Linked DNA regions of Diceros bicornis minor. The protein of the gene in region 2 interacts with the protein of the main gene of each other region in a pairwise test. Links are inferred from orthologs where the notes say so. Each region holds a gene or a part of one and is shown on either strand. Other genes may lie near its edges. The genes, in order: HSD3B7, SPRY2, UBASH3A and OTX1.

Region 1 (7,895 bases), on a different chromosome or scaffold from region 2:
GCCCTGTCTCCCGCAAAGTCCCCCGGGGTGTGGAGCGGACCATTCGCAACCTGCCCCTGGACCACGCGTCTCTGGTCAAGAGTTGGCCCGAGGAGGTGTCCCGAGGAGGTCGGAGTCGGCCTGGAGGCCGAGGCCGCTCCACCGAGGAAGAAGAGGCTGAGCCAGGGACAGAAGTAGACTTGGCAGTGCTGGCCGACCTGGCCCTGACCCCAGCTCGGCGTGGGCTGGCTGCCCTGCCTACTGGCGATGACTCGGAGGCCACAGAGACATCGGACGAGGCAGATCGCGCAGGCCCCCTGCTCAGCCACATTCTCCTGGAACACAACTATGCCCTGGCCATCAAGCCCCCACCCTCCACACCAGCTCCTCGGCCCCTGGAGCCAGTTCCTGCCCCTGCAGCCCTCTTCAGCTCCCCAGCAGATGAGGTGCTAGAGGCCCCTGAGGTGGTAGTGGCTGAGGCGGAGGAGCCCAAGTCGCAGCAGCAGCAGCAGCAGCAGCAGCAAGAGGAGGGGGAGGAGGAGGAGGAAGAGGAGGAGTCAGAGTCATCTGAGAGCAGCAGCAGCAGCAGCAGTGACGGCGAGGGGGCTGTCCGGAGGCGAAGCCTCCGCTCCCACACCCGGCGCAGGAGGCCACCCCCTCCACCCCCACCCCCACCGCCCCCCACCTTCGAGCCCCGCAGTGAGTTTGAGCAGATGACCATCCTATATGACATTTGGAACTCGGGCCTGGACTTGGAGGACATGAGCTACCTGCGGCTCACATATGAGCGGCTGCTGCAGCAGACAAGCGGGGCTGACTGGCTTAACGACACCCACTGGGTCCATCACACCAATATCCTGAGCCCTAGCGGCTGGCCTTCTCAGGATAGGAAGACGGGCCCGGGGGTGGGAGTGGACTTCCGTGGGGTCACCCAGCCGGTTCCCTCCGGTTCTCCCCATCCATGTTCTCTCTGCTGTATTCAGCCTGGGTATTTCTCCTCTGGCTACCAAGCCACTCTTTTCACTGTGCTTTGTGCCTCTTTTCTGCCTCCCAGACATTTTCTGGCAGAAAAGGTGGGTCTAAGACTTAAATCTCTCTATCCTTCTGTCCTCCTCACACTGAGTGTGCTCAGGACCTCCAGCTATAAGGTCAGTCGCCCTTTCCTTGGACTGGGACTGGGCGGGACAGAGGGGAGTGGGGGCCCCAGGGGTCTGACCAGTAAGGAACCCCGTCTCTTCCTTAACACCCTGTACTCACCAACCTGAGCACTCCAAAACGCAAGCGGCGGCCCCAGGATGGGCCCCGTGAGCACCAGACAGGCTCAGCCCGCAGCGAAGGCTATTACCCCATCAGCAAGAAGGAGAAGGACAGGTACCTGGACGTGTGCCCTGTCTCGGCCCGGCAGCTGGAAGGAGCGGACACTCAGGTGAGGCTCTGCCCTCATATTTGGCATACTCTTCCCATTCTTTCTCTTGTCACTTCCCTCCTCCCTGTCCTACTTCTCACAGGGGACTAACCGTGTGCTTTCGGAGCGCCGGTCTGAGCAGCGGCGGCTGCTGAGCGCCATCGGCACCTCAGCCATCATGGACAGCGATCTCCTGAAGCTAAACCAGCTCAAGGTGAGGAGTGGAGCCTTGGGGAGGAAAGAGGCTCAGTGGAAAGGCAGCATCCAGGAGTCCCCTAGGGGTGGGGATGGTGGGGAGTGGCTAGAATACCCTCCTTCCCTGGAGGTCTGCAGGGAAGGCAAGGAGCTAGGGTTCTGGAGGGGTCCAGCAGCACAGTCTGCCTTCTGCTCTCTAGTTCCGGAAGAAGAAGCTCCGATTTGGCCGGAGCCGGATCCACGAGTGGGGTCTGTTTGCCATGGAACCCATTGCAGCTGATGAGATGGTCATCGAATACGTGGGCCAGAACATCCGCCAGGTGAGAGGCCTCATACCCAGCCCTAACCCCTGATCTGATGCAGCATGGGAAAGCTCACAGGAGAAGCATCTGACCTTCTGGATAAAGCCCCACATACCCTCCTGGCTCTACAACTTAGCCAGTGAAACCTGCCTCTTTATTTTTTTTTCCTTCCTTCCTTCAACAACTAGTAATGGGTACTAGTAAACTAGATGTTAATGATCCAGCAAGAAACAAGACTAATATTCTCTCTCCCTTTAAGGACCTCACAGTTTAGTGGGGAAGACAGGCATTGAACAAGTAACTGCAATAAAGGATGGCGTTTGGTTGATGCGAAGGAGAAGTTTGGGGAGGCAGGGGCAGTGGCAACACAGTGATGTTTAAACCGGAAGCTGAAGGATGAAGCTGAACTCGCAGGCTCAGGTGAAGGGAAGGGCCTCCCGGTTGCGGGATGGCATGTGCAAGGGCCTTGGAGGCAGGATATTCTTACAAGGGCAAGGAGGTCAGTATGGCTAGTTAAGGGCCAGTGGCAGCAACGTGAGGCTGGAGGGGCAGATGGAGGCAGGGCTTGGGAGCCACACTAATAAGTTTGGCCTGATGGTGAGAGAGGAGAGTTGCCGCAAGGCGTTGAGTAGGAGAGGACCTTGGAGGGTAGTAAGCTCCCTCTGGCTGCAGTGTGGAGAGAGAATTGGAGGCTGAGGCCAGTGGGCAGTTGTTGGAGAGATCCTGGCCAAAAGCGAGGGTGGCCTGGACGAGCCGAGGCCTCTTGGCACGAGCCTCTGTGGCAGCTGAAGTAACAGAGGAGTCTGGAGGCCCAAGGTAGCTGGCAGGACTAGGCAACAAGTTGGCTCGGGAGAGTGAGGGCAAGAGGGGAGGGGAGGCCATTTCTCAGCGTGCTGCCTTTAGCAGTTAGGGTAGTTAGGGCTGCCAGTGAGATGGGGAGCGAGGAGGAGGGAGCGGGCGGGTGGTTAAGATGAGTTCCAATCAGGACATGTGAAGTTGCAGGGCCTGGGGGACGTCTAGGAGATGACGCCCAGCAGTTCCACTGAGGTGGCTTTTGGCTGGAGACAGAAGTTTGGGAGGAGTCCCCACCACTTAGCTGGCAGTTGAAGCCCTGGAAAAGAGTGAGATCACCCAAGGAGAGAGCGCAGGGGACTTAGCATCCTGTTTTCTGGAAAATACGAGTTACTCCTTCTCACATAAGAATGAGGGCCCTAACGTGGATGCCAGTGGCAGCCAGTGGGTGTCTCTTTTGGAGAGAAGGTCCTGGGAGAAGAGATGAGTAAGGTGTGGTCCACGAAGTGGCCACTGTCATCTTGGGAACTGCCCCAGCCCCACAGCAGTCTGGGGGCTCCATGGTGAGTCAGGCAGACACTTGAGGAGGAGCCAGTGGCTGCTTCTGCCCAGTGACCAGTGCAGACTTCCTGGGGTCCTCTTTGGGTGACTTAGAATGGCAGCCAAAGGTTTAGGGTGGGGGCCGGCCCCGTGGCTTAGCTAAAGTGCGCGCGCTCCGCTGCTGGCGGCCCAGGTTCGGATCCCGGGCGTGCACCGATGCACCGCTTCTCCGGCCATGCTGAGGCCACATCCCACATGCAGCAGCTAGAAGGATGTGCGGCTATGGCATGCAGCTATCTACCGGGGCTTTGGGGGGAAAAAAAATAAATAAAATCTTTAAAAAAAAAAAAAAAGGTTTAGGGTGGGTGGCCCTAAGAGGGAGGGCTCCTGGAAGCAAAGTCAGGGGAGTCAACGTCTTGGGTTAGTGGGAGCCAAAAGGAGAGCCACAGGTCGATGTGGCCCCTGAGGTGGTAGCTGGACGACTGTCCAGATCCCCCATCATGGGGGCTGGTGGGGTCAGGCCTGGTCCAGCAGGAAGCTGAGAGGCCAGCTCCCTGACTGTGGCACCTCACCCTACTAGATGGTGGCCGACATGCGGGAGAAGCGCTATGTGCAGGAGGGCATTGGCAGTAGCTACCTGTTCCGGGTGGACCATGACACCATCATCGATGCTACCAAGTGTGGCAACCTGGCAAGGTTCATCAACCACTGCTGCACGGTGCGCCAGGGGCCAGACCAGGGCGGTGCGGGGGGTCCAAGGGGGCAGCCTCGGCTCACACTGCCCTCCCCTCCTGCAGCCCAACTGCTACGCCAAGGTGATCACCATCGAGTCCCAGAAAAAGATTGTGATTTACTCCAAGCAGCCCATCGGCGTGGATGAGGAGATCACCTACGACTACAAGTTCCCGCTGGAGGACAACAAGATCCCGTGTCTGTGCGGCACCGAGAGTTGCCGAGGCTCCCTCAACTGAGGTGGGGCAGGACTGGTGCCCACACCCCTATTTATTCCCCCTTGGGGCCCTGAGCTCCCAGCCCCCCAGCCTTAGTGGGCTCAGCAGGGCCCACGTGCCCCATCTCCAAATACGGGGTTGGAAGCCCTGAGCCCGGCGGGGAGCCTCAATCCCTTGAGGTATCGTCTGCCTCCCTGTCGCCCCTGCCCACCCACACCCTAATTTTTTTTTCTTTGCGGAGAAGAAGCTGTAAATGTTTTGTAGCTGCCAGCAGCTGTTTCCTGTGGAAACCTGGGGTGCCGGCCTGTACAGATCCTGTTCTTGGGGGCTACATAGCCCCCTTGCTTTGTGTTAATGGGGGACTTCCCCTTTGTGCCCTGCGTGCACCCCTCCCCGGTTTAGGGGTCTCTAGGGGCAGTGGCCATGTTCTCCCCCTGGGGGGGGCCCTGCGCCCCCAGTCCTGGGGACTCCGTGCCTGGAACCCTGCCTCATCTTCTGTTCCTGCCAGCACCTGTGGGTCAGCCTCCCACCCTGGTGTCTGGGAGCTCTGGCTCCGCCAGGCCTGGACGGTGGGGGGCGGGCCCTTCCTGTTGGGCTGGATTGTACATATGTTAATAGTGCAAACCCAACGCCACATTTTTATAATTGTGATTAAACTTTATTGTACAAAAGTGCTTGGTCAGTATCTTTCGGGAAGAGTAGGGAGGGATGGGGGTTGAGGAAAATGGGGAACAGAGGTGGAAATGGGTGGCCTGGAGTTTGTGGTCTGTAGAGGGGCTTTCAGGCAAGAGCCCAGACCTGCAGACTCAGCCACCATTGCTCTGGGCCACCTGATAGGTTGGAACAGCCATCCAGAAATCCCCCACCAAGGCCAGACAAGGTCAGGCCTCCTGCCCTTCCCAGAGCCACAGCTGCCTCTGAGCTTCTGGCCTCCTGGGACATCCAGCAAGAGGGAAGGACTGACATCATGCAGTGGGAGTGAGGTCACTCTGCCTGCTCCATCCTGTGGCCTGAAACCCCTCAGCACCCACCCAGCAGGTTCTGGCTTCCCGCCCCCTTCCCCCAGTTCTTGCTGGAACCAGATGCCAGTGGAGTGAAGAGTGGCCACCAGGGGGTGCCCTGTAGCAAGAGTGTAGGGGACGGAGGGGTGGAGGCTGGGCTGGTCTCTTGTTCCTGGAATGGGCCAGGAGGGAGGAGGAACAAGCGGAAGGGGATGGTGTGTTGCTGGCCGGCTGGCTCAGGCGGACGAGAAGACAGCCCCTTCGGAGGCCCATCTGGGCGCCCTGCGACTGTGGCTGCAGGTAGGCAGAGGTGATGCCAGGGCCCAGGGGTCCCTTCTAGTCCCAGCCCTGCCCACCTTCCTCAATCCTTCCTCCCCAGTTCCTGCCTCTCACCCTCCATTTTTGTCCCAGAACCTCCCCATCCACCTCAAACCCTGAGCCCTTCCTGCACACTAAGCCCTCACCCTTCTTATCTCAGTAACTGCAGCTGGCAGGGTCAGAGGGCAGGGAGCCTGACTGCTGCACCCACAGCTGCCCCTCCAGGAATAGCCCTGGCCCCTGGGTCACTGCTCCAGTCCGTAGGCCAGAGGCCCCTTCCAGGAGTAACAAGTGGGCCTCCGGTCCTGGGGCAGGTGGCGGCAAGCAACCCAGGTGAGCCAGGGTCTCTCCTCAGCTGGGCATGGCAGACTCTGCACAGGCCCAGAAGCTGGTGTACCTGGTCACAGGTGGCTGTGGCTTCCTGGGGGAGCACGTGGTGCGAATGCTGCTGCAGCGGGAACCCCGGCTCCGTGAGCTGCGGATCTTTGACCTGCACCTGGGTCCCTGGCTGGAGGAGCTGAAGACAGGTGATGGTAGTGGGGAGGAAATGGGGGGAGGGTGTGGACTCCCTTCACTGTGGTGGAAAAGATGATGCCTGTTTACTATCTCCAGGGCACATGAATGGGATGAGTGAGTCACACTGGGAACATGTGGCTCCCAAGGGTATAGGCTGAACGCAGCAGCTGGCCGATGGCCCCAGCTCTGACATTGCATCTGGCTGCCCTAACCCCTTACCAGGGCCCGTGCAGGTGACTGCCATCCAGGGGGATGTGACCCAGGCCCACGAAGTGGCAGCGGCTGTGGCTGGAGCCCATGTGGTCATCCACACAGCCGGGCTGGTGGACGTGTTTGGGAGGGCCAGTCCTGAGACCATCCATGAGGTCAACGTGCAGGGTGAGGTGCTCCCCACCAGTTCTAATAACACACTTAACACTCCCTGGCAGGTGGCCTGATCTTGGCTGTTTGTTCCCCACCCCCTCTTTGACCTTGATCTCTGTGATTCTCTGGTGACAATCTGTCCTGTGGACACCCTGCCCCTGTAACTGCAGGCTGTGACCTGCTGTAGTTTTCCCTGGACCTGGGGAAGGAAGCACATACCCTCATCCAGATTTGGGATGGGGAGGGGAAAGATGTGGAGAGAGAGGAAGCTTCAGCTTGGACACACACCCCGCCTTCCCCAGGTACACAGAACGTGATTGAGGCTTGTGTGCAGGCTGGAACACAGTTCCTGGTCTACACGAGCAGCATGGAAGTTGTGGGGCCCAACATCAAAGGCCACCCCTTCTACAGGTGAGCTGAGGTTCCCCCTAATACTGTAAGAGCTCCATCTCCCCTCAGCATTAAGAATCTTCCTTCTCCCACCACCAGGGGCAATGAGGACACCCCATATGAAGCAATACACAGACACCCCTATCCTTGCAGCAAGGCCCTAGCTGAACGGCTGGTCCTGGAAGCCAATGGAAGGAAGGTGAGACTGGAGAAGAGGAGACCTAGAGATGGGGGTGGGGAGGGCTGCCAGTCAAAGGCAGAACCAGAACCAGCTGGGCTTCTTTGCATCCTGCCCTGGGTACCTCCTTTCCATCTCCAGCTTGAGGAGGCCACGGCAGAGGGTGGGTCACTGGGTCCTAGGTCTTAGCAGTGCCTGCTTTTTGCTCCCAGGTCCGCGGGGGGCTGCCCCTGGTAACGTGTGCCCTGCGTCCCACCGGCATCTATGGTGAAGGCCACCAGATCATGAGGGACTTCTACCACCAGGGCTTGCGCCTGGGGGGTCGGCTCTTCCGGGCCGTCCCAGCCTCTGTGGAGCACGGCCGGGTCTACGTGGGTGAGGCCCGGGCTAGGCGAGGGGAGGCGAAGAATTTGCTGGGGGGTGGGCGGATGTACACTGCCTAGAAAAGGATGGTCTATACACGGGCCGGGGTAGACTGATATGTGGGCATTGTCTGCACAAGCCACAGAGAAAACAGTATCCATGCAAGTTGGGAAGGCTGACATAAAAACGTCATAAGCTGAGGAGAGGAGAGGGGCAGCATCTACACTGGACCAAAAGAAGAAGGAATAGGGTCCATACAGGCTGGCCCAGGAGAGCAAGTGGCTACAGGGGCCAGGGAGAAAGCAGCCTTTGCTAGGGCTGTAGTTATGGTGGCAGCATCTACATGGGCCGAAAGAGGGAATGGCTTGTACGTGGGCTGGCCCAGGAGAGAGCAGCATCTACATGGTCGCAAGGGCACTCGGTCATGTCCACCCCTTTCTCCACTGGCAGGCAACGTAGCCTGGATGCATGTGCTGGTGGCCCGGGAGCTGGAGCAGCGAGCGGCACTAATGGGTGGCCAGGTGTACTTCTGCTATGACAAGTCACCCTATAAGAGCTACGAGGACTTCAACATGGAGTTCCTGGGCCCCTGTGGACTGCGGC
Region 2 (7,112 bases):
AAATGGCAAGAAAGTAATGTTAGAACACAACATTGCTACCAACATTTTCAAAAGTTGAATACCTTTTCAAAATTTGAAATAAGTTTAAGTTTATCACGGTCCTTTTTGCCTTAAACATCAATAAATACAGCCTAGAAATTCTTCCTTCGTTCTTACTTTGTATGCTTTTACATCACATACCCTGAACTATGATTTATCTAGTATTCTGTACTTTATAAAATCCCATAGGATGAATATGACATGCAAAAAAGTAAATACTCCACCCAAGGAACAGTTATAAATTTTACAACAATGATACATTATCATTAACTACATAGTAGCTCCAAGTTATATAGTATTAAAAACAAATCAATTTAAATCCTGTTAGTACCAGGAGCACAGTAAAGCAAACTTACACTACGCGCAGCAAGACAGGAACTTACTTATTTTCAACAACTTGAGAATCAAATATTTTATAATCTGATAGCCTAGGAGACTATCTTAAATTCTGTAGCTAAAAGACTGTTCTCCCTGTGTTAGAAATAAATTATGTCAAAATCTTAACTGCTTTGCTCCTTTCCAAAAACTTAATAGTTGAGAACATAAACTGACTGGTGATAATAGGAAGTTTTTTAAAAATTTAAGTGTCATCTCAAATCTACATTCTGACAAGCAATCGCTTAAACTGCAATTCCTCTGTAAATTTCAAAAGTATCCTCCCTTTCGCCAAGTCTATAATGAATAAAAATGGGCAAAAAGTGCACCTTTATCCAGTCTTTGCTTTTTAGGAGAGACACAGGCAGGTGACACACGCCCCCCAACTCCAAACAAGGCAGAGCTGGAAACAGGATCTCACTTCCAACAGAAAAGCAGACAAGACTACGCTGCTCTTTGCTTTCACTCCGTTTATCGGTTCTATCTGTGCCCCAACACCGTCCCCAGCAGGTAGGACACAGTCGGAGCCCGGAGGGACTTTTCTCCGGGAGGACCGACGCAGCCCAGAGGCCAGGCTGGCCCCCCTGCGCACAATCCCGAGACTGACAGACAGGCGGGGGGCGCGGGCGCCTCCGAAGGGGACATGCCCTGAAACGCTAGAGCACACTTCCCCCTCCCTCCCTTCCCGGCTAAAACCTCCCCCACCTCGGAGAACTGCCTCCCAGCTCCAAGAGGGAGCCACTCCACCCCCAGGCAGAGGGCACGCAGCCCACTGCAGGGCGTTCCGCCAAAGGCCCTCGAACGTCGGGCAGAGGTCTCCAGCCCGACGCCGCGAGGAAGCCGGTGCCTTAGACACACAGCCGGGACACCGAGGTCTAACCCACGCACGCTGGGCGACTCCCCCATGCGCTGACCAAAAGGCCATTGCCTGCAATCTGCAGACGCCTACATATTAATATAGAGATATACACATATTTCTTAAAGTGAAAGAAAAATTGCTTTTTAAAGAAAAGACATTTTACAGGGCCCCACTGCACACGCTGGGCATACAAGACCCAGATCCCTGGGGTGGAAACTTTCCGCGAAGATTTGTTTGCAGTGGAAAGTAGCATCTTTGGGGGAGGGGGGATCTTTTTCTTAACCAAAATGATTTCTGCCGATCCCTGGCCTCCTTCGCAGCCGCGCTCCCCTCCCGCCCCCCGCGCACTCCCTCATGTCCCCCCGCATTGAAAGTGCTTTGAAACCCCCATTAAGAACAGTGTGTGATCAGACTAAGGATTAGGGGGAAAGGACTTCAGCACAAGAGTGGGGCAAACCGACACAGAAACTGCTTTGTAAAAATGCACAGGATTCCGAATTAAAATACAGCAACAGAAAAGTAGATCAGCCCATCAAAGGAAATAAAAAACTAGCCTCTCTTGCCACCTATTTTCAGGTAATGGAAAACGATCGCTATCGCTTGATGGCTTTCTTCCTGTGTTGGGTCAGCCCAATCTTCCAAAAATAAAAAAAGCTTGACCCAGTCCGACCGCGGAGAACGGAAAAAAGAGAACGCTGCACTTCCGAACCGCAGAGACCCGGCGCCAGGCAGGGCGACGCTCCCACCCGCACCGGGCTCGCCTCCGTCCACACCGGGCAGAGGCGGGGGGCTCCCTCCACCCGGCATCCTGTCCCTTTTTCACCCGCGGGGTCTCGCTGCCCCCGTGAGGCGAGCGACCCACGCGCCCTCGGTCCCGCCGGCGCCCCTGCTCCGGGACAGCCTCTCCCAGGACTTGCCTTCCCCGGGGAGGAACAGGTTAGAGGCGCGGGCGCCTGCAAAGGCGACCTGGAAAACACAGTGTTTTCCCTCCCTCTCCTGTCCTCAGCGCCGAATTCGCGGCCAATGCAGGGCCGGGAGTAGACTCGGTGCGAGCCGTCCGCCACCCCAGCCCCCCAGAGCGCGGGCGCGTGGGGTCGTGGGGCCAGGGACACTGCACCGGGCGCGCACCGCAGCCCCCGCCAAGGCAGGCCAAGCTCGAGGCGACGCAGAACCGCGGGCAGCTCCCGGGATCCCTGAGGGGAACCTGCGGGGTTAGAGAAAGGGAGGCCCGAGGGGAGACAGACCCCACTCCCGGTCCGGCTGCACCTACTCCATGTTGCCCACAACGCGCCGACCACGGCGCCAGGAGGGGACGAGCCAAACGCGCCTCACCGTGATCGCGGCTCTGCACCAACCCCTCTCTGCTGGATTCTCTTCTTCCTGCGATGTGCAAATAAATCCAGCCCCGATGCAAACTTTTTCCCCCTTCTTTCCAAACTCTGCTTCAGTCCAACTTCCGAGCAATCGGCGGGAGGAAAAAAGGCGAGGGAAATCCAGAGCCAAGTCCCCAGCCCACGAACCCGCCGGAGTTCGGGGCTGGAGGCGACCCCCCTTCTAGAAGCGCACGCGGAGTATTTCCTCTTTTTTCTCAATGAACTGGAGGCCGAAGCGCCAAACGCGAGTCTCTTTTCCTGGCAGATGAGCGAATGAGAAAAGAAAACGGCCTTACAGAGAAACTACAGCCAGATGGCTCAGAGTGCGGCGGCGGCGGCCGCGTCCGCGCGGAGGCGGCGCGTGGGCGCGGGGCTGCGGGCCGGGCCGGGCGGGCGCGGGGGCCTGGGCGCTGCGCGCTCCGCCGGCCCCTCTCGTCCGCTCGCGCTGCGGCGCGCAGCTCTCGGCGGTGCAGACTGGGCGTTGTGGAGGCGCGGCGGCGAGGCCGAGGCGGGGGCGGTGGGTGCGGAGGAGGAGAAGGAGGAGGAGGAGGAGGAGGGTCTGGGGCCCGGCCGGGGGGGCTCGCCGTTGGCCTGCGCCCTCGCCTTTCCGGAGGAGGCAGGGAGCTCTGCGGCGGCCGCGGCAGCAGTAAATGGCGTCATGTGGATCCGAGGCGGAACAGAGCAGTTGTTGTCCCAGAGGATATATCGCATCCGGTCCCAGCTCATTGGCTCCGCGGGGCTACATTCACTCACACTCCAGCGCCCGCCAGCGCTCCGAGCCGCAGGAGGCATTCAAAAGGGCAACCGCGCCGCCCCGCGCGTCCCCGGGCCGGCCCTGCCGCCCGGGCGCCGTCACGCGGGGCGCCCGCGGGGCCGGGCTGGGCACGGCCGGGTCAGTTTATCTAGTTTCAAGGAAACACTGCCCTTAAGGTTTCCCCAGAGGCCATGAGGACAAGCCATAGGCTCGGGCTGACTTAGGGAACTTTCTCCGCGCCACTAGGAAAAGGGAATGAACATTTAAAACTAATCCAGGCCGTGCAGTGTTAGCATTAAAAACAAGTTGCAGGTTTTAAGACTTTATTCGGAATCCATTTCAAGCCCACTTCTCCCCTTTTCTGTTCCCCCTCGAGGGGGCGACGGGGAGAGAAGAAGGGGGAGGGGAAGGGGAGCGGGAAGTGAGGTGGGAGGGCTATTGGTTTATTCTTTGTCTACTGGATTAACCCGATTATACACCAGGCACCAGCACAAACCGCCTCCCCCACCTCAGAGCCGTGTACGAGAGGAACAGAACGCAGATTCGGGTTTCAAGTACCTTCTGCTCTGGCCGGGATTTGCTTTTGATTGTGTCGATTTGCAGTTTTTCGGTTTAATATTAGATTTTATTTTTAAAAGTGGAGTTAGCTATAGATGGAGGCTTTTTGAAGATCTTGGTGTTTTGTCTGACGCAATAGCTGAAGGAAATCCTACAATCTAAGACTTTTTAAAATTAGTTAATTCAGTAATACACACATGCACGATTACTTAAGGGCGACATCACGGGCTTCTGACATTGGGGGGGGGCGCTCACTGCTCCACTGTAGATTCTCTCCTCCACTTAAGCAGAAGAGTCATCCTTCATTTCTTACTCTCTTTGTCACCTAGAACATTTCTCAAGAAGATCCTATTGTCCATTTTGAAAGTGGACTGTATTTTCCCACGTAAAAAATAAAAATAGAAAGATAGGAAATGCATACAAATACACTGCTCTAATTGCCGTTCATTTGCTAAGAAACGTGCTTGCACGTGGGAGCACCAGTAGGAAATTAAAACACTCCCCCGCGCGCGCGCACACACACACACTCCTAATACTGGATTCTAATGATTTACAGAATGTTTTTACTTTACAGGGAAGTAGGGTCAAAACTCCCGGATAGCACCTGCGATCTTGCCCCCGTGCGAGGTTAGAGTTCTTGAAACGGGGCTAGGAAAACGTGGTGCTTGATTCCCCGGGTCCAGTTGCAGCCCATGTCGTACGCAGCTACCCTGGCACTCGCTGCCTGCTCCCGAGCTCCCGCTCTAGAATGCCCCGGGCGCGTTCCCTGCCGCGCTGCGCTGTCGCCCTGCCTTCTCCATGTTTATCTAGGGCTCTCCCCCCTCGCCCGGAGTTTGGAACCAGAGATGGCAGGGGAAGTGGCATGCGTTATTTCCGGGCGCTGGCCTACGTACCCCCACCCCTCGGGTGAAGGTAGACCAGGCTACCTCGGCCTGCTCCACGGCGTCCCCGGGGCTGCGGGCGCGGGACGACCGGGCCTCCCTGGTCCGGGCCGCTCGCCCGACGCCAGTCCTTAGAGCGTCCGAGTGAACGCAGGCTCGGCTGCGTTTATGGCTCGTCCGGCCACCAGGGGGCGCCCGCCCAGCGCGGGGCTGGGGCTGCCTTCTTCCCCAGTCTCGACGGGGGCAGGAGAGGTTGCCTTCCAAAATGTACGTTAGGCCGGCTGGTTCAAAACGAATAAAAAGACGTTTATACTATAAACGCCACAACAGGTAGCTTTCCCTAACATCTCCTCGGATACATTCTGTTTAGAGATGAGGTACCCAGGTTCGGAAGAACTCCGACTTTTACCAAGGGGAAGGAATTGGGGGCCAAAAGTTGTGCAAGACTCTTCTGGAACGGGCTGCCAGTGTCCGGGCAGCAAGTCTAGGGCAGAGCAGGTGAAAGAAACGCCTTCTCGTCGCCTCCTCAAACCCTTGCAGCAGATGGCTGCTTCTCAGGAGACACTTGGAACCATGCTGTTCTCGGGGTGCTGCCGGATCTCTGCCAAGATACGTTGTTCTGGATCAAAGCATAAAATGGAATTTAAATTAGGAGGTTCCGGCTCGTTAGGGCACCTTAGATTTTTATTGAGTCAACAGGGAAGAAACTAGGAATTTATATTTATCTTTCATGAGCTAGAAGGTACCCCATGTAATCTAGCTCCCCCCCACCCCATTCTCCCACAGCCTCCAGCCTGCTGTCTGGGAAAATATTTAACTTATAACTTAAGCACAAGGTAAAAACAAGAATCTGTTGGATTCTTTCTAATTTACTTCTTATTATTTATTTTATTTAGTGCAATTATTGTTTTTCAGATGTGGTGTGTGAAGCACTACAGTGTGTCTCCAAAGTTTACTTAGTGAGTTATAATCTCAAAGAGGACTTACGTTTATGTGTGTGTGTGGTGTGCCTGCACACGCAATGAAGTGTTTGGTGCAGCTCTTGCTCCAAAATCTATTCTCATGATGCATTACAAAATTCTAACTGGGATTAATTTTGGAAGATACTTCAGAATTATGAAAGAATGTTATGTAACACTTCACAATGGAGCCCATTTTCAAACCTGTTGGGGAGAGTTCTAGAGAGGCAACCCTGAAGCATGAGCAAGTGTTGCCGTTTGCCTAATGTTGAACAATACCAATCCGTGGAAACCCGTGCTGCACCACAACGCACCTCCAGGTTCTTGGGGACGCACCCAGTAACATGCCTTCTTAGTCCTAGCCATTGAACAGCACTGTGTGTCATATATTTGGGATCTCATCTCTGCCTTCATTTTATTTTCTGTGTTCATTTATTTGGATTTACTTCATTTTATAACTATAGTTATCCTCAATTTCTTATTTTAAATGAGGCAGTGTATAAACCTATGTGAATTTTGCCTGCTATAATCTTCAGTAGAAGCCATTGATAGGGACAGAGTAGACAAGCTTCTTCACCAGTAGGTGCGTTGGCAGAGTTAAGTCAGATATTTTCAAGGTTGCAGTTACTCGTCTAAGCTTCCGATTTATGTTGTAGTAAAGGGAGAATGTAGCTTTAAACAACTCTAGTTTCAGTTTCTTTGTGAGATTGACCAAACCACTTGGCCTTACTGGGTTCAGACCCAGTTTTGATAACCGAAGAGAAATCTTGCAGTGATATGATGTGTTCTTGAGACAAAGAAAAATTAATAGCTAGTGATTATTTGGATATTTTGTTAGTTTTATAACCAAGGCAATTTATTTATGTATTCACGTTTAAAGCTGGCCCTGAACACAACAATGTATACTGCTTCCAAGAGTAACAATTTAGATCTTTCAACCATTATTTCTCCTCACACCCTAATTGCAATAGTAACTTTAAGTTATGCATGGACTCTTCTGGGAGGGACTTTCTTAAATTAAAGGGCTTTGCAATAATGGACCTTTTGAGTTGGCAGCCATGACTAGTCATTTCACTTTTTGAATTGCTTTGATTTTCCAAAATCTATTGATATTACCTCTAAGGGGGAATTGGGAGGGCTGCAGTAAAAGATACAAAGGATTTCAAAATAGACCACTTGAGTTCTTATCTATATGGCTTGGAGAACTGGGAACAGTTTATTTCTGCATCCAACCTTTTTGGTGATGTCCTTTATCCCTAACTAAACTGGAGGAAAGATCTGGAGTTATCCCAGAGTAAGTGGAGTGGTCCTGAT
Region 3 (7,536 bases), on a different chromosome or scaffold from region 2:
CCTGTAGACAGGTTACTTATTTTACCCTCAGCCTAGGGTTTCTGGAGGAGGAAGGGGGTTCCCACTGAGGACGTGCTGGACACCCGGAGACCCACGGGCAGCATTTCCACCCGCTCTGGGGAGGGCACCCCAGCCTGGCGGGACCCGGTTTTTTTGTTTGATTTTCACTGCGGCTTTTCAGGGGCAGAGTGTTAGGGGACTTCCCACCTGAGGACAGAACGATGGCATCATGGCACATTCAGGCGGGACTGGGTTTTAGAAAAGGGGGTGCCCTCTCTTTGATTTCCAGAGCAGAAAGCCGCAGTCCATAGCAGTGGGCGGCTTGTAGAGTCGAGTAGCTGGTGGATGGAGGGGCCACCCTGAGCTCAGAGCCCCTTACCCCGTCCCCCCAACCACCCGGCACCCGCTCCGGTGCACCATGCCGATGCCTTTGGGGGCATTCACAACCACCGGTAAATTCTCTTCCTGTCAGACATAACCTGAGAGTGGTGACCTCTCTTTCACATCAGCAAAAAATGGCTCTGCCCTCTGTACTCAACAAATCACATGCATTTTTTTCTTCTTTGACAGTCACATTTGAATTAAATCAGATTTTTAAGTGAAGAAAGCCTTGTGCACGGTTGTCTCTTTTTCATTTTACATTTTAAATGTGAGCTCTTTATTCCCTTCCCTTGGTGCTGGGTGGGTAGGCGTGGAGGTGGCCCCTGCCCCGCCCAGAGCGCACTGGGCACTTCCCAGTGTCCATCCCGCAGAGTCCTCAAAGCACGGGCACCTCAATCCAAACGCTCCACGTCTGCAAAGCCAGCCCCACTCACCAGTCCGATGCCTCTTCCACTGTCTTTCTTCCGGTCGCTGCCAATGCCTTTAGCCTGTAGGGAAGCAGAAGGCAAGGAGCATTCAGAAGCCTGCCTTGCATTCTCAGGGAAGGGATGAGAGAAGCAGGGGCAGCCCTACAACTTGTCGGACCTTCGTATCGGACATATCAGGACCTGGAGGGGCTGGACTGCTAGACTCTGCAGCTGGCAGCTTGAGTGTCCAGGCCTCTGTCCTCCGAGAGGCATCACTGTGGTTTTTGAAAATGCAGACCTGCTCACACCACCCCTGCTCATTTTCCTTCTGGGGATCCCTCCCTGCAGTCCTTGGCACCGAGACCAAGGGCTCATGCCCTGAGGTCCACCCATGCCTGCAACCCCATCTGCTCCACCCTCCCCCATGCACCCTGCACCCAAGCCAGGTGGACCCACTGGCTATGATGGGTCATATCCTCGGCTTGCACACGTGCCTCCCTGCCAAAATGCGGCCCTGTGCTGACATGCCCTCAAAGACATGGCCCTGGGTCTTCTATGATTGTTTACACGTCCCTCCACCAGGAAGTCCTCCCCGAACCGCCCAAGCAGGGTGGACGTGCAGCCCCTCCTGTGTTTCCCCACCACACGTGTGGTCACCTTGCTTCTCATCTCATTGAACTCGTGTCCGTTTGCCTCCCCTACCAGACCATGATGTCCCTAGGCCTAACGATGTCTTACTTATCATTGTAACTGGATGTAAATATATTGAATTGAATTGAACTGAACCTCCAAATTGTACAGAGTGAAACCCGGCTAAGGTAATGCATTCAGGGAGTCGGCCCGGAAGTGGCTGGAATTGTTGAGGAACCCAGTACGGTGCCGCCCAATACCGACGGGATGTGGCCACCTGGATGGGTTTTAACAGGGAGGCCTTGGCTCCAGGCTTCCCTGGGGTGCTCCAGCCTAAGGGAGAAGTTTAAACATGTTTCTCTACCCCCAGCATACGGCTAAGGTTTAAACTAGAAGGAATTTTGGGTATGCGTCCACACTACAGCTTCATTGATGTAATAAAGCCTGGGCTCTAGAGGCACCGAGAATAGGGTTCCTGTCCTGCTCTCTCTGGCCTCAGTGTCCCCATCTGCACCTGTTGGACGATGCCCAGGACGGTGCCCAGCACACGGCAGGCACTCTGCTCGTGCTTGCTTCCATTCCCACTGCACAGACCCCCGGATTATTATGAACATAGTGGTGACGACCGAGTCCTGAATTGGATTGGAGGTGCAAGGGGTCTAGCTTCAAAGTTATTTCATCCACTTGGGTCAGGATTTTTGTTACAATGTTTAAGGAAGGTTTGCCCCGCTCTCAAATCCAAGGTTACCTAAGGGGACTTCTGATGTATTTTCCCATATGAATAAGCATGTGAAAAGGACCAGAACTAAGCAATCAATTTCCCGTGGAAGCTGTAACCCAGGGTCAGGATCATAGTCATTGATTTTGGGGATTTCTCCACTCTCTGAGAGGGGTAACTCCTAAGGTTAAAATCTTCCGTGTGGACGTTTTTCCTGGGTGAGTAGGATTGTGCTGACACTCTTCCGGTAGTTTCTTCATCATTTTGTTTCGTTTTCAGACATTCAAGAGATTTTCCCTAAGCACTAATGGTTTTCCTGCACTGTTTAGAAACACAGTCCCATCTCAACAGGTCCCAGCAATAGAGACTCACTGGGCTCTGGGATCTTTCAAATTAGAGTTTGAAATGTCGTCTCAGAGTCGCCGAGCTGCTCACAGAGACGGTACAACCAGGCCCCAAGCTCCTCCAAACTCTGAAAAATGGGGCTGCCATGGTAATACTTGGTTTCTAATTTTCACAAATTTCAGTGTCCCCCCCATCAACCAGCTGAGTTTGTCTTTAAAAAGAAAGATCAAGTTATTTATAAAAAGCAGAAAAGGGTCTTATTTTGAGACAGTGTCTCATCCTGCGTGGTGTACCCCTTCGACAGGAAGCTGGTGCTCGGAGCTGCCTGCAGTTTCACAGAGGAGCCACGGAAGGGTCAGGCTCGGGGGTCGCAGGCTCCCCTAGCCAGGGCAGTACTCACGCGGTGTGTGCCGGGAAGCCCATCCCCAGGAGGGAGTCCAGGAGGGCGGGGGTGCTGCGGCCCTTGAGCTTGTTGGAGATCTTGGCGTAGAGCTGAGTCTCCCCGGCTGCCATGTCTTCCTGCCTGCAGGCTGAAATGAGTAGATAAAGCCAGAGAGGGAGAGGCAAGAGAGTCTGAAGCTGTGAAGAAAAACCTCAAGCCTTTTTTGATCTTTCTAACAAAAGCTAATATCCTGTTTGCATGAGATACTGGTTTTCAAAAATCTCTTTGTGGGGTGCTGGGGTGCAATATCCACCAAGCCTCTTTCCACAGCGCGGTTTGGGATCCGGAGGTCCAACCAAGCCTTTGCACTGACGTGGGCTGCATTGGGGAGCAAGTCTGCAAGAGAGGGAGAGCGAGGGGGCAGGACGAGGGAGTGGAACCAGGGGCAAGTGTTCTCTACCAGGTCCCACTGACTGTAGAACCCCAAGCGACCCTGGATCTAGTCTCCTTATCTGCAAGCAAGACATTAAACTACGCTGTATCTATTTTCCCTGCTAGCTCTGAAATTTTGGGTTTCTTTAGTTATTCATTGACGTTTTTTTTGATTTTAAAAACTTTTAAAGTTTAATATGCGTGCAGAAAAGTTGACAAATCATATGTGTACAGCTCAATGAATCTTCATAAAGTGAGCACACACACCTAACCTTCCCAGGACCAGCAATTAAACAGTGGTCCTCAACCAGAGGATATTGGCCTCCATCCCCGGGGACCGCTGGCAGTGTCTGGAGACATTTTTGGTTGTCACAACTGGAGGGGATGCTTGCTACTGGCATCTAGCAGATTGAACCCAGGAATGTTGCAGTGCACACGAGAGCAAAGAAGGATCCAGCCCAAAATGTCAATAGCATCAGGGTTGAGAAACTCTGCTTGAGAACATTACCAGAACCTCAGAAGCACCCCTGCTCTCAGCCCCCACCCAGCTTCCTAGTTGTCTCCTCTCTCACCCCAAAAGGTAACCGCTGTACACACTTGCACATTAATTTTGCGTATTTTTGAAACTTATATAAATAGAACCGTACAGCATGTACTCTTTCGTGTCTGGTTTCTTTTGCCTAAAATCACGTGTGTGAAATTTATCCACATTGTTGCTTGTAGCTGTAGTTAGTTCCCTGTATTGCTGTGTAACATTCTATCAGATAAATGCACCATACTTTATTTCTCCATTTCTCTGTTGATGTACATTTGGGTGTGTTTCAGTTATTTTGCTGCTGTGGATGTTCTTGTATACATCTTTTAATGCCCAATGTATGCATTTCTGCTGGGTACACACCTCGGAGTGGGATTTGGGGGTCATAGGATATGTGCAGACTTCATTAAAAACTGCCAAGCAGTTTTACAAAGCAGTCGTTCCAATTTGCCCTCTCGCCAGCAGTGGATGCGAGTTTCACCTGCTCTGCATCCTTATCCATACTTGATACTGTCAGTCTTTTTAGTTTTAGCCAATCTAGGTGTGTGTAGTGGTATCTCACTGTGGTTCTAATTTGCGTTTCCCTGAATGGCAATGACATTGAGCACCACGAGACAGCCTATTGGCCATTTGAAGAACCTCTTTGGGGAAGGGCCTGTTCAAAGCATCTGCCTTTTAAAAAATTGGGTTGTTTGCTTTTTCTTATCAATTTGTGGGAACTCTGGAGATAAGTCTTTTGTTGGATGCATTTAATGGTAATAACTTCTTCCAGGCTGTGGTTTGCTTTTTTAATCTCTTAATAATGTCTTTGAGTGAAACGAAATTTCTTAATTTGAATGAAAACTAATTTATCAATCTTTTCTTTTATGGTTTGAACTTTCTGCATCTTGTTCAAGAAATCATTGTTAACCCAACATTGATGAAGATTGTCTCCTACATTTTCTTTTTGAGGCTTTACTACTTTTACTGTTCATATTTAGCTCTATGGTCCATTTGAATTAATTCTTTGTATGGGGTGAGGTAGGGGTTTATGTTCATTTCTTTCCCCATACCTGTGTTCAATGAAAAGACCATTCTTTGCCCAGTGAATACAGTAGAATGTTCATTATAAATCAGGTGACTGTATATGTATTAGTCTGTTTCTGACTCCATTATGTTCTCTTATTGGATTTGTCCATTTTTGTGCCCATACTACACTGTTTTAATTACTATAGCGTTAAGTCCTCTGATTTTGTCTTCTTCTTCAAGATTGTCTTGGCTCCTCTATGCTCTTTGCTTTTTCATATAAATTTAAAAATCAGGTTGCCATAGTGTGCCATTGGAGAGCACAGAAAGACCCCCATATGTGGTCATTTGATTCCCAACAAAGGGACCAATGTAACTTAATAGAGGAAAGGATAATATTTTCAACAAACGGTGCTGGAAAACTGCATATCGTTATGGGAAAAATATAAATTTCAACCCTTACTTCACATCATGCACAAAAACTAACTCAAATTTATGATGGACCTAAATGTAAAAGCTAAAACTATAAAACTTCCAACAAAAATGTAGGAGAAAATTTTTTGCTACGCTGGAGTTTGAAAGCTTTGTTATGACACAAAAAAATATGAATCATAAAAGAAGAAAATTAAGATGGACTTCATCAAAATTGAAAACTTCTGCTCTTTGACAGACACCATAAAGAAAATAAAAATGTAAGCCACAGACTGGGAGAAAATATCACCGTAGATACCTGACAAAGGACTTGTATCCAGAATATACAGAATATAACATAATGTATTTCTGCATCTATTATATATGTATATTCTCATAATCAATAATAAGAAAAGGAGCAATCTGGTTAAAAAATGGGTTAAGTGGTTAAAGATATGCAAATGGCTAATGAAGACGTGAAAAGATATTCAACATCATTAGTCATCAGGGAAATGTAAATTAAAACCACAATGTGATACCACAACACAGTTAGTAGAAGAGCTAAAATTGAAAAGACTGACAATATCAAGTTTTGACCAACCGTGGAATAATTGGAACTTTCACACATTGTCCAACCACTTCCAGAAAACATAGTCTTATAAAGTTAAACATATTCTTACTATACGACCAATCCACTCTTAGCTATCTCCCTAGGAGAAATGAAAATGCATGACCACACAAAGACTTGTATGTGAAATGTCTGTAGTGGGTTCATTCACAGTAGACCCAAATTGAAAAGAATCCAAAAACATACAACTGTTATAGACTGGTGAATGGATACAAAAATTATGGTACAGTCATGTGTTGCTCAGTGTTGGGTATACGTTCTGAGAAATGCATCGTTAGGCAATTTCAGCATTGTGCAAACATCATAAATCGTACTTACACAAACCTAGATGGTATAGCTTACTACACACTTAGGCTATATGGTGCTAATCTTATGGGACCACCATCGTAAACGTGGTCTGTCATTGACTGAAATGTCGTTATGCAGTGCATGACTGTGTATTCAATCAGTGGGATAACATATATCAATAAAAAGGAAGACATCACTGATTCATAGAAGAACATGGATGAATTTAAAAGAACATTGTTGACTGAAGGAAGCCAAACACAAGATATAGATACTGTACGATTTTATTTAAATGAAATTCTAAAAAAGGTAAAACTGACCTATGAAGACAGAAAGCAGATGAGTGGTTGTCAGGCCAGGGTCAGAGGGAGTTTTTGGGGGTGATGGAAACGTTCCACATCCTGATTTGGTGGTGACCAAATGGATGCATAGATCTTCAAGACTGACTGAATTGAGCACTTAGAATGGGTACAGTTGATAGTGTGTAAATTAAACCTCAATAAAATTGATTTTAAAAAAGGAAAGGGAAGGGGCCAGCCCTGGTGGCCTAGTGGTTAAGTTCCATGCGCTCTGCTTTGGCGGCCGGGGTTTGGTTCCCAGGTGTGAACCTACACCACTCGCCTGTCAGTGGCCATGCTATGGGGGTGGCTGACATACAAAAAAGGGCAAAAAGAGAAGGGTTGGAAGCAGATGTTAGCTCAGGGCTAATCTTCCACAGCAACAACAACAACAAAAAAGTAGATTTTGGGTCTGAAGTGACGGCCTCTACTCAAATATATTTATCTCTTCTAAATAGTAAACTACCTTTTCAGCAATTGTGCTTATAACATATTAAAATGTAAATTTCTCTTTAAAAAAAATCTTACTTGTGTAAGCCAGGAAACGCCCTATCTAGCTTAATCCCTTTTTCTTAGCTTGAAAAGTTATCTTCCAAGGCCAACAGCAAAAAGACTAAAGCTTCCTGACGCAGAATTTCCCCTGTGGCTGACCCCCAAGCCTCCCATCACTCGCTAAAGAGATCAAGGTGGAGACTGAGACTGTGCCTAGAACGAAGCTGTGTGCAAGTGCTTATGAAAGCTTCACAGGTCCTAGGGGAGCCCTCAGGGTAGGATGCCCCTTCTCATACCTCCAAACCAAGACTACTTAAGACTCCGGCTTGGTGAACATCAGATGCCAGCCCTAGGTGTGCTGATTTCTTTTTCCTTAAAATTGTATACTGAGCTTGATGGAACTGATCTGTAGGTTTTTCTGAGAAGCTACTTTATAGTGGTGGAAGTTCAGCCACCCTCATGGGTCTTTTCCCTACTATCCCTTGGTAAACTGGCTCGACTTATGACCTCATCTGACTCACATGCCAGCATGTTAACACATGTTAAT
Region 4 (7,653 bases), on a different chromosome or scaffold from region 2:
GTTTCACTGTAAGGATAATAGAGCTCCTCTCCTCTGCTTTCTTCAGAGGATGGCTCTTTAACATAGCCTGAGACAAGTCCTGTGATTTAAAGGTGAGCTGTGAGGATGGGACTAATTGACATGCATCAGTTTACAAAGACCGTCTTATCATCTGAGAATGCGCCATCTTTTTCTCTGGATAATTATTTATTACATCTAGCTTGGTTCCTACAATTTTGTTGGGTCTCAACATTGGCTCAAGAATGCTGTTAATATTTATTCTGTATTGATAAAAGTCTGTCTTGCCACTATGAGTAAATCCCCCAATTAATATTTCCTTCTCTAGCATAGCACTGTCATTTTTTGTGAAAATGGTTATGTTTATTTATTACAATTCTGAGTCATATATAAATTTTCAATAAAAGCAGAAACTTTCTTACCTTAAACACTGCTGCTACTTCATTGCAATGAAAACTTGACACTGGTTTGAGGAGAAGGTTGTGTATCCATAAGACTTTTCATATGGAAAAAAATGGTCCTCTTGATTGCAGGGCAGGATACTGGGTTGTATTTGGAGCTGAACAAGTTTACACCATCCCAGAGGGGCCCTGCTGATACACGAATGTGAATTGAAAAACAATTAGTCATATTTTCTTAAGCATTGTAAACTATCATCTTTGGTAAAGGGTCATCTCTGTTGTTCAAGATTTGAGGAAATTTGTGATTCCACAGCACTGTAAAAGTGTTAGTATCTTGATGAATTTTCCACGTTGTTGTTTTCAGTTGTTATAATTTTGCACTCATATGAGAAAGAACTGTGACTTCTGATAACTGTAGGTGCTGAAGTGAAAGAAAGAGGGTTATTGTCGGGGGGAGGGGTTTTTGTGTGTGCAGATACATGTGTATGAGATGAGGGAAAGGGAACTTTTAACAAGAAGTTCTAGGCTACAGAAAAAACTGGCGATTTTATGGTAGTTTCCATCACTCCTCTGCAGAGGTGTCCGAAACAAAGAGAGCTCGTTCAACAAGTCTGGAGACAGAGAAGACAGTCCACCAGCATTTATACTTTAGCCTAGATCACACATACATATATACACACACATACATTTATGCAGATATATACAAACATAAATTCCGTTCGAAAAGTCTGCAGCCGCCTTCAACTGCCAGTATTTCAAAATGATAAAAACTTGCTACGGCAGAATTTCTTCATGACAAGGATTTTAAGAAGTTATTGAAAAGTTATCAGAACGAAATGAAATGGGGTATTTGCTCTCTAGGGGAAGCTCTGAGAACCCCGCTCCACCCCGAGGGAAGCCAGCAGACGGAAATCGCCAGCCCGAAGCAGCTTGGGGCTTGGGCGGCCAGCGTCATCCACCCCATTTACGCTGGATTCGGGGAACCTTCCGTCCCGAGGAGCCTCGCAGAGAGGCGGCTCCCCTAAACCTCTCCCGACCTGCCAAGTGACAAACCTTCCCTAGGCACAGATTTGCTGCCCCTCTCCTGCTCTTACTGCCCCAGGCCTGAGCCTCGCGGGGTTTCCATGTGAGCTGCTCTGTGGCGCCCGCACGCCCCGCAGCGGCGGCAGAGCGCGGACCCCCGGGACTAGCGGAGTCAGGCCCGCGGCGTCCCGATTTCGTCGCGTGGTGCCCAGAGGCTGCCTCCGGAGCGCAGGCGCGAGCTCAGCCTGCGTAGAGGCCGGGAACCCGAAAGCCCGCGCTGCGGGAATAGAAGCTGGGGGCCAGGGGCCGCCGAGGAGGAGGAGCATTGGCATCGGGCTGGCTTGGGCATAGCCCGCGGGCTGGTGCAGAACCTCCGCCCCTGGCCAGGATCCCACGGCCCCAGAGCCAAACCCCTCCCCTTGTCCCAAGTGTTCTCCAGAGTCTGGCCCGGCCTCGAGGTCACCTGGATGCTGGATCCGGGTCTTGGGGCCCAGCTCCCACGCCCCCTCCCCGGCCCCGAGACCTCGAGCTGGGTCGACATGCCCTTTCGCGATGCCCCTCTTCCCCTCCCGGCGCTGCGGCCATTGCTGGAACGGTCGCGGCTTCTAGCCCAGAGTCTCCCACCTGGACATTTGCCTAGCGACGGCCGCCTCAGTCCTCTACGCTGTGTACAAGAAACTTTCATCTCAGTGTCTCTCCCTCTCTACTCTCCCCCCTCTCCCCTCTCCTCTCTCTCTTTCTTCTCTTAATCCCGGGGTTTTATGGGTTGAGCATTAAGAAAATTCGCCTGCAATTTGGGATTAGATAAATACTCTCATTAGGGGGGAAAAATCGTGCTGCTTGATACCTCCCAACTTCCCCGAGACCGTGGCAGCATCTGGAACCGAGAGCGCCGGACTCCCGCGCGGCGGGCCCTGGGGACCTCCTGGGCACATTCCAGCGCGCACACCCGCCCCACCTCGCCGCGCCGGACCTCGACCCGGCGCTGCGCTGCAGGCGAAACGGCCCGGAGGAAGCAGGAGCGCAAGAGATTGCGGGACTGGGACAAGGGCGCGCACCCCGGCAACGGAGGGCTAAGAACCCAGGCACACAGAGCGCAGGCCCAGGCAGGGGCAGCGCGGAGCTGGGGACGCAGACGCTGCGGAAGCGCCCCCCGGGACGCCCACACCCTGGTCCCCTCTAAACTAGTGAGCTCCAGCCCGCGCCTTTCCCCGCAGCTGAAGGCGGGGGTGTATTTCGTTTCTTTCTTTAAACCTCTGCACCGTCCCGGGGGCTCCGAGCCGCGGGCCGCGCCGGCCATTCCCCACGGGGGCCTGCGCGAGCCTAACGAGCGTTCCCGTCCGGGTCAGCGCTGCGCTCTGCGCAGTTTCTTTTCCTGTTAAAGCTTTTTCTTTCTCATGTTTTTCCTTTTCTCTCGTTTTTTTATTGTTTTTTCTCTCTCTCTTTCATTCCCTTTTGTGACTGGGCCGCGGTGTCTTTGTTCTCGAGAGAAGCACCCGTGTCGCTGACTTTTGTGAACCAGAGAAGGGTCTTGTAAAACCTCCTTTTCTCCTTCATACTCCTCCACTCCCACCCCTCCTTCTTTGCCCCTTTGATTAGATGTTCCCTCATCGTCCAAAAAAAAAAAAATGTAATTTCGTTGGTCTGGCGGCCACTTTCTTTGAACATTAGCTCGCTTTCAGCTCCCAACTTCAATTAGAAGGAGTTGATTTTGAGAGATCAACAAAAGAACCGACCAAAGCCTTATTAAAGGTCCTAAGAAGATCTCCCGAGTCCTTTGAGAAGCAGTTAAGGAAACAGTGTGCCCTCCATCATATTCTGTTACCGTATTTTATTCGGACTCCAAAGGAAAGTGTCGCTTGGGGGAGGGGGAAGCACTTTGATGAGCGGCGGCCGCGGCCCCTTTTCACTCAGCGGGCTCTCCTGCCTTCTCCTCCTCCGCCTCGCCCAGCGCCCGGTCCGCTCTCGGTCCCGACCCCACGGCCCCGGCAGCGCCGGCGCTCCCCACCGCGATGCGCCTGGCGGCTCCTTGACTCGCCCTCACACTTACTCCTGTTCAAAGTTTTCACTCCGCCTGTTGGGGTGGAGGGGAGGGGGGATTAGGAAGAAGGGGTAGGAATTCCTCGAAAGGGAATGAAGTCGTGCCTAATATTCAGGAGGAGGTGCCATTTAAAAGAATTGCGTTGCTCAGTGTTGGGGCGAAAAACTTTTTTGCGCTTTGAAAAGTCTACCCAGGTAGACGTGTTGGAGAAGTTGTTCTGTTGGAAAATGGGCTTTGCCAGTACGAACAATCCGGGGAAAGCGCCTCAAGGAGGCTCCTGCGGCATGTGGAAAAGAAATTGAGGGTAGCGGTCTGTGGCCACGTTTTCCAGCAGACTGTCCTGGTAGGAGGAGACCGGGAAGGAGACAGAGAGACAGTGTGAAAGAGAAAGTTTCCTATCAAAATCTTTCGATTCAGAAGTAGAGTGTGTGTGTGTAAGGGGGAGGGGACGCCGGGCTCCAACGTTTCAGAAGAAGCGTTTACAATTTGCAAGCACCCTTCGTAGGGGCTGGGAACCCCAAGAGACGCCGAGGAGCAGGTAAGGGGTGGTGCCTCTCCTGCGGGTGCTGTTCCCGGACGCGGGAGTCCAGAGGCGCCAAGGCGGGATCTGCGCACCCGGAGCCGCTCCCGCGCTCGGCACAGTAGCCTGTGCCAGCACGAGCCGCCCGCGGCGTCCGTCTGCAGGTGGTGGCGCGGTGGAGGAAGACGCTGGGGCCCGCGGCGCCGCGAGAGGGGCCGGGGCCCCCTCTCCTGCAGCCGCGGCTGCGGAGTCCTCGCGTCCACAACCGGGCCGCCGAGCCGAGTGGCGCTCGAGAGAGCGAGGGAACCGGTTCTCCGGCACCGCGCCTCCTGTCTGCCACTCCCTCCCGGGCGCCGAAAGGGCGAGAGAAGGGCGGGGGCCCCGGGACGGCCTCGGGACCGGCGTCCCCCTCCGCGGCCGAGGCTCGGGCGCTGCGCTCGCCTGCCTCGCCTCGCTCTGCGAGGCGTTTGCCAGCCAAACCCCGGAGTTAGCGCGCGACCGGGGCGGGGCGGGCGGGCGGCGAGGGCGGGGTGCAGGGGGCGGAGGAGGGCGGGGGCGCGCGGAGGTAACCCCCGGCTCGTGCTGCCATTGCCCGGCTCCCTGTCACTCAGCCCGCGCGGGCCCCGGGATTGGCAGCCTAGCCCGGTTACGCACTCACCTCGCGTTCACATACCCGGGGAGGGCAGTAGAAAGGTGATCAATCTTCATCAGGCTACGTTTCCAATCACCTAAACAACCGGGCGAGACAAGCCACTCCGACAAGGTAAATCGCTTGATTTATTTAGTTTGCAAAGTGCTTCTGCAGGACCTCCCCAGCCCCCACCGCCTCCACGTCGTACCGGGAGTGCAACGGCAACCGCGAGCCACCTCCCAACTCTGCCCCTCTCGCCCCCCACCCTCCCCCTTGCGGCCCCTCGGCGCGGTCCTGGCAAGGTAGTGTCTTGGGTAGTGTGTAGGGCTTTGCAAACAAAGTGTCTGTGCAAAAAAGTGAAACCTGGAGGGACATGCACAAAGCCACTGAAAAGAAAGAGAAAGGAGGGAAGTTGGGGAAAGAAAGAAATCCGGGTGTCCTCGACCAACCGCCCAGCCTGGCGGGTAATTCCTGTGCAGCTCTGTTTTGCAGGTTGGCTGCCCGGCGGGTCTGTGTGAGGGCGCGAGGTAGATGGTGAGCGGCCCCGGCAGCTGAGGGCAGGTAAGGAGAAAGCCGCGGGGCCGCCCGGGACTCTAGGAACGCGTCGGTTGCTCTTGCTTTCTCCTCCTCCTCAAACGGGTCCCAGCTTCGCAGATCCCCGGCAGGTGGGCAGGGTTGGGGAGCGGCCTGGCACCCCTTTTGAGGCGCGGAGGACCCAAGAGCTCTGCTGCGGCCCCGGGCCTCCTCCCCCGCCTGCTCCGAAGTAACCGAGCTGAAGTGCTAAGTTTGAAGAAAATCTTTGAAAACTCAAGCTGCAGCCTAGCAGAGTCGCCGCAGCTTGAGTCCCATTCTCCTTCGGCCCGAGAGCCCCGGCTGTTTCCCTTTCGTCCCCTTCCCTGAAAACTGGGTTCTCCCAGCCCAGGTTGAGGGTCCCGGAGGATAGGAGAGGGGAGCGTCTTTAGCTCTAACTCCTCTCCCTGAAATCCCTGGCCCTGGTGCCAGGCCTGCTGTGACTTCCCACGAAGCGGGGTGAAGCGACAGGTCATCTGGGCCCCAGTCCCACTCCCGCAGCGCCACTTTCTGACCCTTGAGAGTAGCGCCTTAGGTGCGGGGCAACTCGGGAAGCGAGGCTTCGACCTTCCAGCCCCGGTCAGCGCGAGCTACGCCGCCGAGGCCTAGTTCTCCAGTCTCAATCGGGTCCCGGGGCCGCGGGTTCAGCGGGTAGGATAGCGAGCGCGCGGGACCTGCTGCACTTAGGCCTCCCAAATCCGCGAGACATTTTTGGGCGCTGGGCGGGTCACCTTTCAGCCCCCGCCGGGACCCGGTTGTCCGCAACTAGGACCGGGCAGAAAGAAGGCTACCGGCTTGTGTTGGCAAAGAAGGGCCTGTGGCCGTGGCTGACCTCGGGCCGCTTGATAGAACCGCCACCTCTACAGTGGCCCCTTCTGGCCGCCTCTGCCGGACCTGCGGTTGAGACGTGGTGGGATTGCGGGTGAGCAATCTTTCAACGGCTGGGCATAGAGAGGTCAGCTGGAGGGGTGGCTGCGGGCCCTGGGGCCGGGACTCAGCCACGGAGACCTTTGAAGGAATGTACTCTCCTAAGTGGGCAGTGCCTCCCGGAGAGGCCCAGGTGCTGCTAGCACCTTGGTTTTCTGGTGTCTTTTGTCCCGCTTTCAAAAACAGTTGAAACAAAACGAAACAACCCCTTGTGCTCTGGGCAGCCCGCCCGGGTGCCGTGTGAACGTTTGCTTGTGCAGTATGAGGCCGGCTCCCACCGGACTCAGAATTTTGCCTAGACTTGGGACCTTGCACACTCTGCGGTTCAGGCTCAGACCTCCCCAGCTTGGCCCTGCTTTTAACCTCTCCTCACTCCTAGCGACGCCCTGCGAGTGTCTTTGGCCCTTTCCAAGCCCGGAAAGAGGCGATGACGATCCAGAAAAGTTTACTTTTCAAAGAAGCTGTGGTCTTTGGGCTAAGGCTTTGTAGAGCTGAGTCGACTGCCCAGCGCAGTTCCGTAGCCTGGGTCCCCTCCCCATCCGGTGGCTCCTTGCCTCAGAGAAGACCAGGAAGCTGACATGGCTCCGAATGACGGTTTGTATCGTGTCTCCATAGGCCGGGCCCCCAGACGCAGCAGAGCTTGAAAGGACTGCGCGGTGGGAGACCCGCACTGCGCCCGGCCCCTGGCCCCCCTGGATCCGTCGGGGCGCCTCCACCCGGCTGTTAGCATGATGTCTTACCTCAAACAACCCCCATACGGCATGAACGGGCTGGGCCTGGCCGGGCCCGCCATGGACCTCCTGCATCCCTCCGTGGGCTATCCGGGTGAGCACCAGCCCCCACCCCAGCCCCTGCTACTTTGGGGACCCTCGGTCTCGGGTTTGAGCACACGCTTTGTTGCCCAGCAGGCCCAGGGAACCGGTTGCCTAGTCTGCTTAAAATTCAGGGCAGGCTGCAGGCTCACAGGGCCGAGTCGCGGGTCGGTGAGATGGGCCAGGGCGGCGAAAACGTTCAACGTGCGCTCTCTCGGCCGGCCACACCAGCAACCTGTATCCTGTTGTGGTCCCACTGCCAGCACGGGGCACATTTACCCACGGATTCGTTTCCCATGGGTGGCTTTTTTGGTGTGTGTGTGTGTGTGTGTGTGTGTGTATGTATGTATGTGAATCTGTTCCTTTCCCCCCAATATGGAATGCGGAATCTGGACACTCACTAGGCCCTGACAGGAGGAAACGAGCTTCCCATATGGGAAGCCACTGGCTAAGCCGAGGAAGGGGAATTCTCCTTCCTTAGTTAAATTGTCCTTTAGACCTGTCGCCTGTACCAACTTCTGCGCTGCTGATGTGGACGGCTTGGGTCGAATCCTGGCTTTCTTTTCTGGTTCCCATTCCTGCAACCGCATTTATTCCCTTGGCAAGTGTTTTCCAGGTCGTGTTTCTGCGTATCCCTTCCCCATCCTTCAGCCAGGGAGTATGTGGGAGTGGTGGTGAAGGAAGGGAGATTGTATAACCTCTCTTCCTTCCTTAACCTCTAAGCGGCAGGG

The links.
Region 1: the proteins of SPRY2 (region 2) and HSD3B7 interact in binary tests that used the Homo sapiens proteins (3 or more experiments, as listed by UniProt). The two-hybrid records come from large-scale screens. The link is inferred for Diceros bicornis minor from reciprocal best matches to the Homo sapiens genes SPRY2 and HSD3B7.
Region 3: the proteins of SPRY2 (region 2) and UBASH3A interact in binary tests that used the Homo sapiens proteins (3 or more experiments, as listed by UniProt). The two-hybrid records come from large-scale screens. The link is inferred for Diceros bicornis minor from reciprocal best matches to the Homo sapiens genes SPRY2 and UBASH3A.
Region 4: the proteins of SPRY2 (region 2) and OTX1 interact in binary tests that used the Homo sapiens proteins (3 or more experiments, as listed by UniProt). The two-hybrid records come from large-scale screens. The link is inferred for Diceros bicornis minor from reciprocal best matches to the Homo sapiens genes SPRY2 and OTX1.

Annotation. Positions count from the first base shown.
Region 1 is NC_080765.1:21,026,790-21,034,684, reverse strand, and holds the start of HSD3B7 (3 beta-hydroxysteroid dehydrogenase type 7), read left to right. Parts: upstream 1-4,885; 5' UTR 4,886-5,341; coding exon 5,342-5,464; intron 5,465-5,642; exon of another isoform or gene 5,643-5,837; coding exon 5,838-6,009; intron 6,010-6,220; coding exon 6,221-6,376; intron 6,377-6,663; coding exon 6,664-6,772; intron 6,773-6,850; coding exon 6,851-6,950; intron 6,951-7,141; coding exon 7,142-7,304; intron 7,305-7,742; coding exon 7,743-7,895. Other genes in the region: histone-lysine N-methyltransferase SETD1A, read left to right, coding at 1-831, 1,233-1,405, 1,488-1,598, 1,780-1,899, 3,794-3,931, 4,011-4,184. UniProt on the Homo sapiens protein: The 3-beta-HSD enzymatic system plays a crucial role in the biosynthesis of all classes of hormonal steroids. HSD VII is active against four 7-alpha-hydroxylated sterols. Does not metabolize several different C(19/21) steroids as substrates.
Region 2 is NC_080748.1:59,266,612-59,273,723, forward strand, and holds the start of SPRY2 (protein sprouty homolog 2), read right to left. Parts: upstream 3,013-7,112; 5' UTR 2,606-3,012; intron 1-2,605.
Region 3 is NC_080766.1:42,106,081-42,113,616, reverse strand, and holds the start of UBASH3A (ubiquitin-associated and SH3 domain-containing protein A), read right to left. Parts: upstream 3,003-7,536; 5' UTR 2,995-3,002; coding exon 2,882-2,994; intron 870-2,881; coding exon 816-869; intron 1-815. UniProt on the Homo sapiens protein: Interferes with CBL-mediated down-regulation and degradation of receptor-type tyrosine kinases. Promotes accumulation of activated target receptors, such as T-cell receptors, EGFR and PDGFRB, on the cell surface.
Region 4 is NC_080751.1:24,466,462-24,474,114, reverse strand, and holds the start of OTX1 (homeobox protein OTX1), read left to right. Parts: upstream 1-4,643; 5' UTR 4,644-4,745; intron 4,746-5,079; exon of another isoform or gene 5,080-5,092; 5' UTR 5,093-5,174; intron 5,175-5,418; exon of another isoform or gene 5,419-6,105; intron 6,106-6,725; 5' UTR 6,726-6,838; coding exon 6,839-6,935; intron 6,936-7,653. UniProt on the Homo sapiens protein: Probably plays a role in the development of the brain and the sense organs. Can bind to the BCD target sequence (BTS): 5'-TCTAATCCC-3'.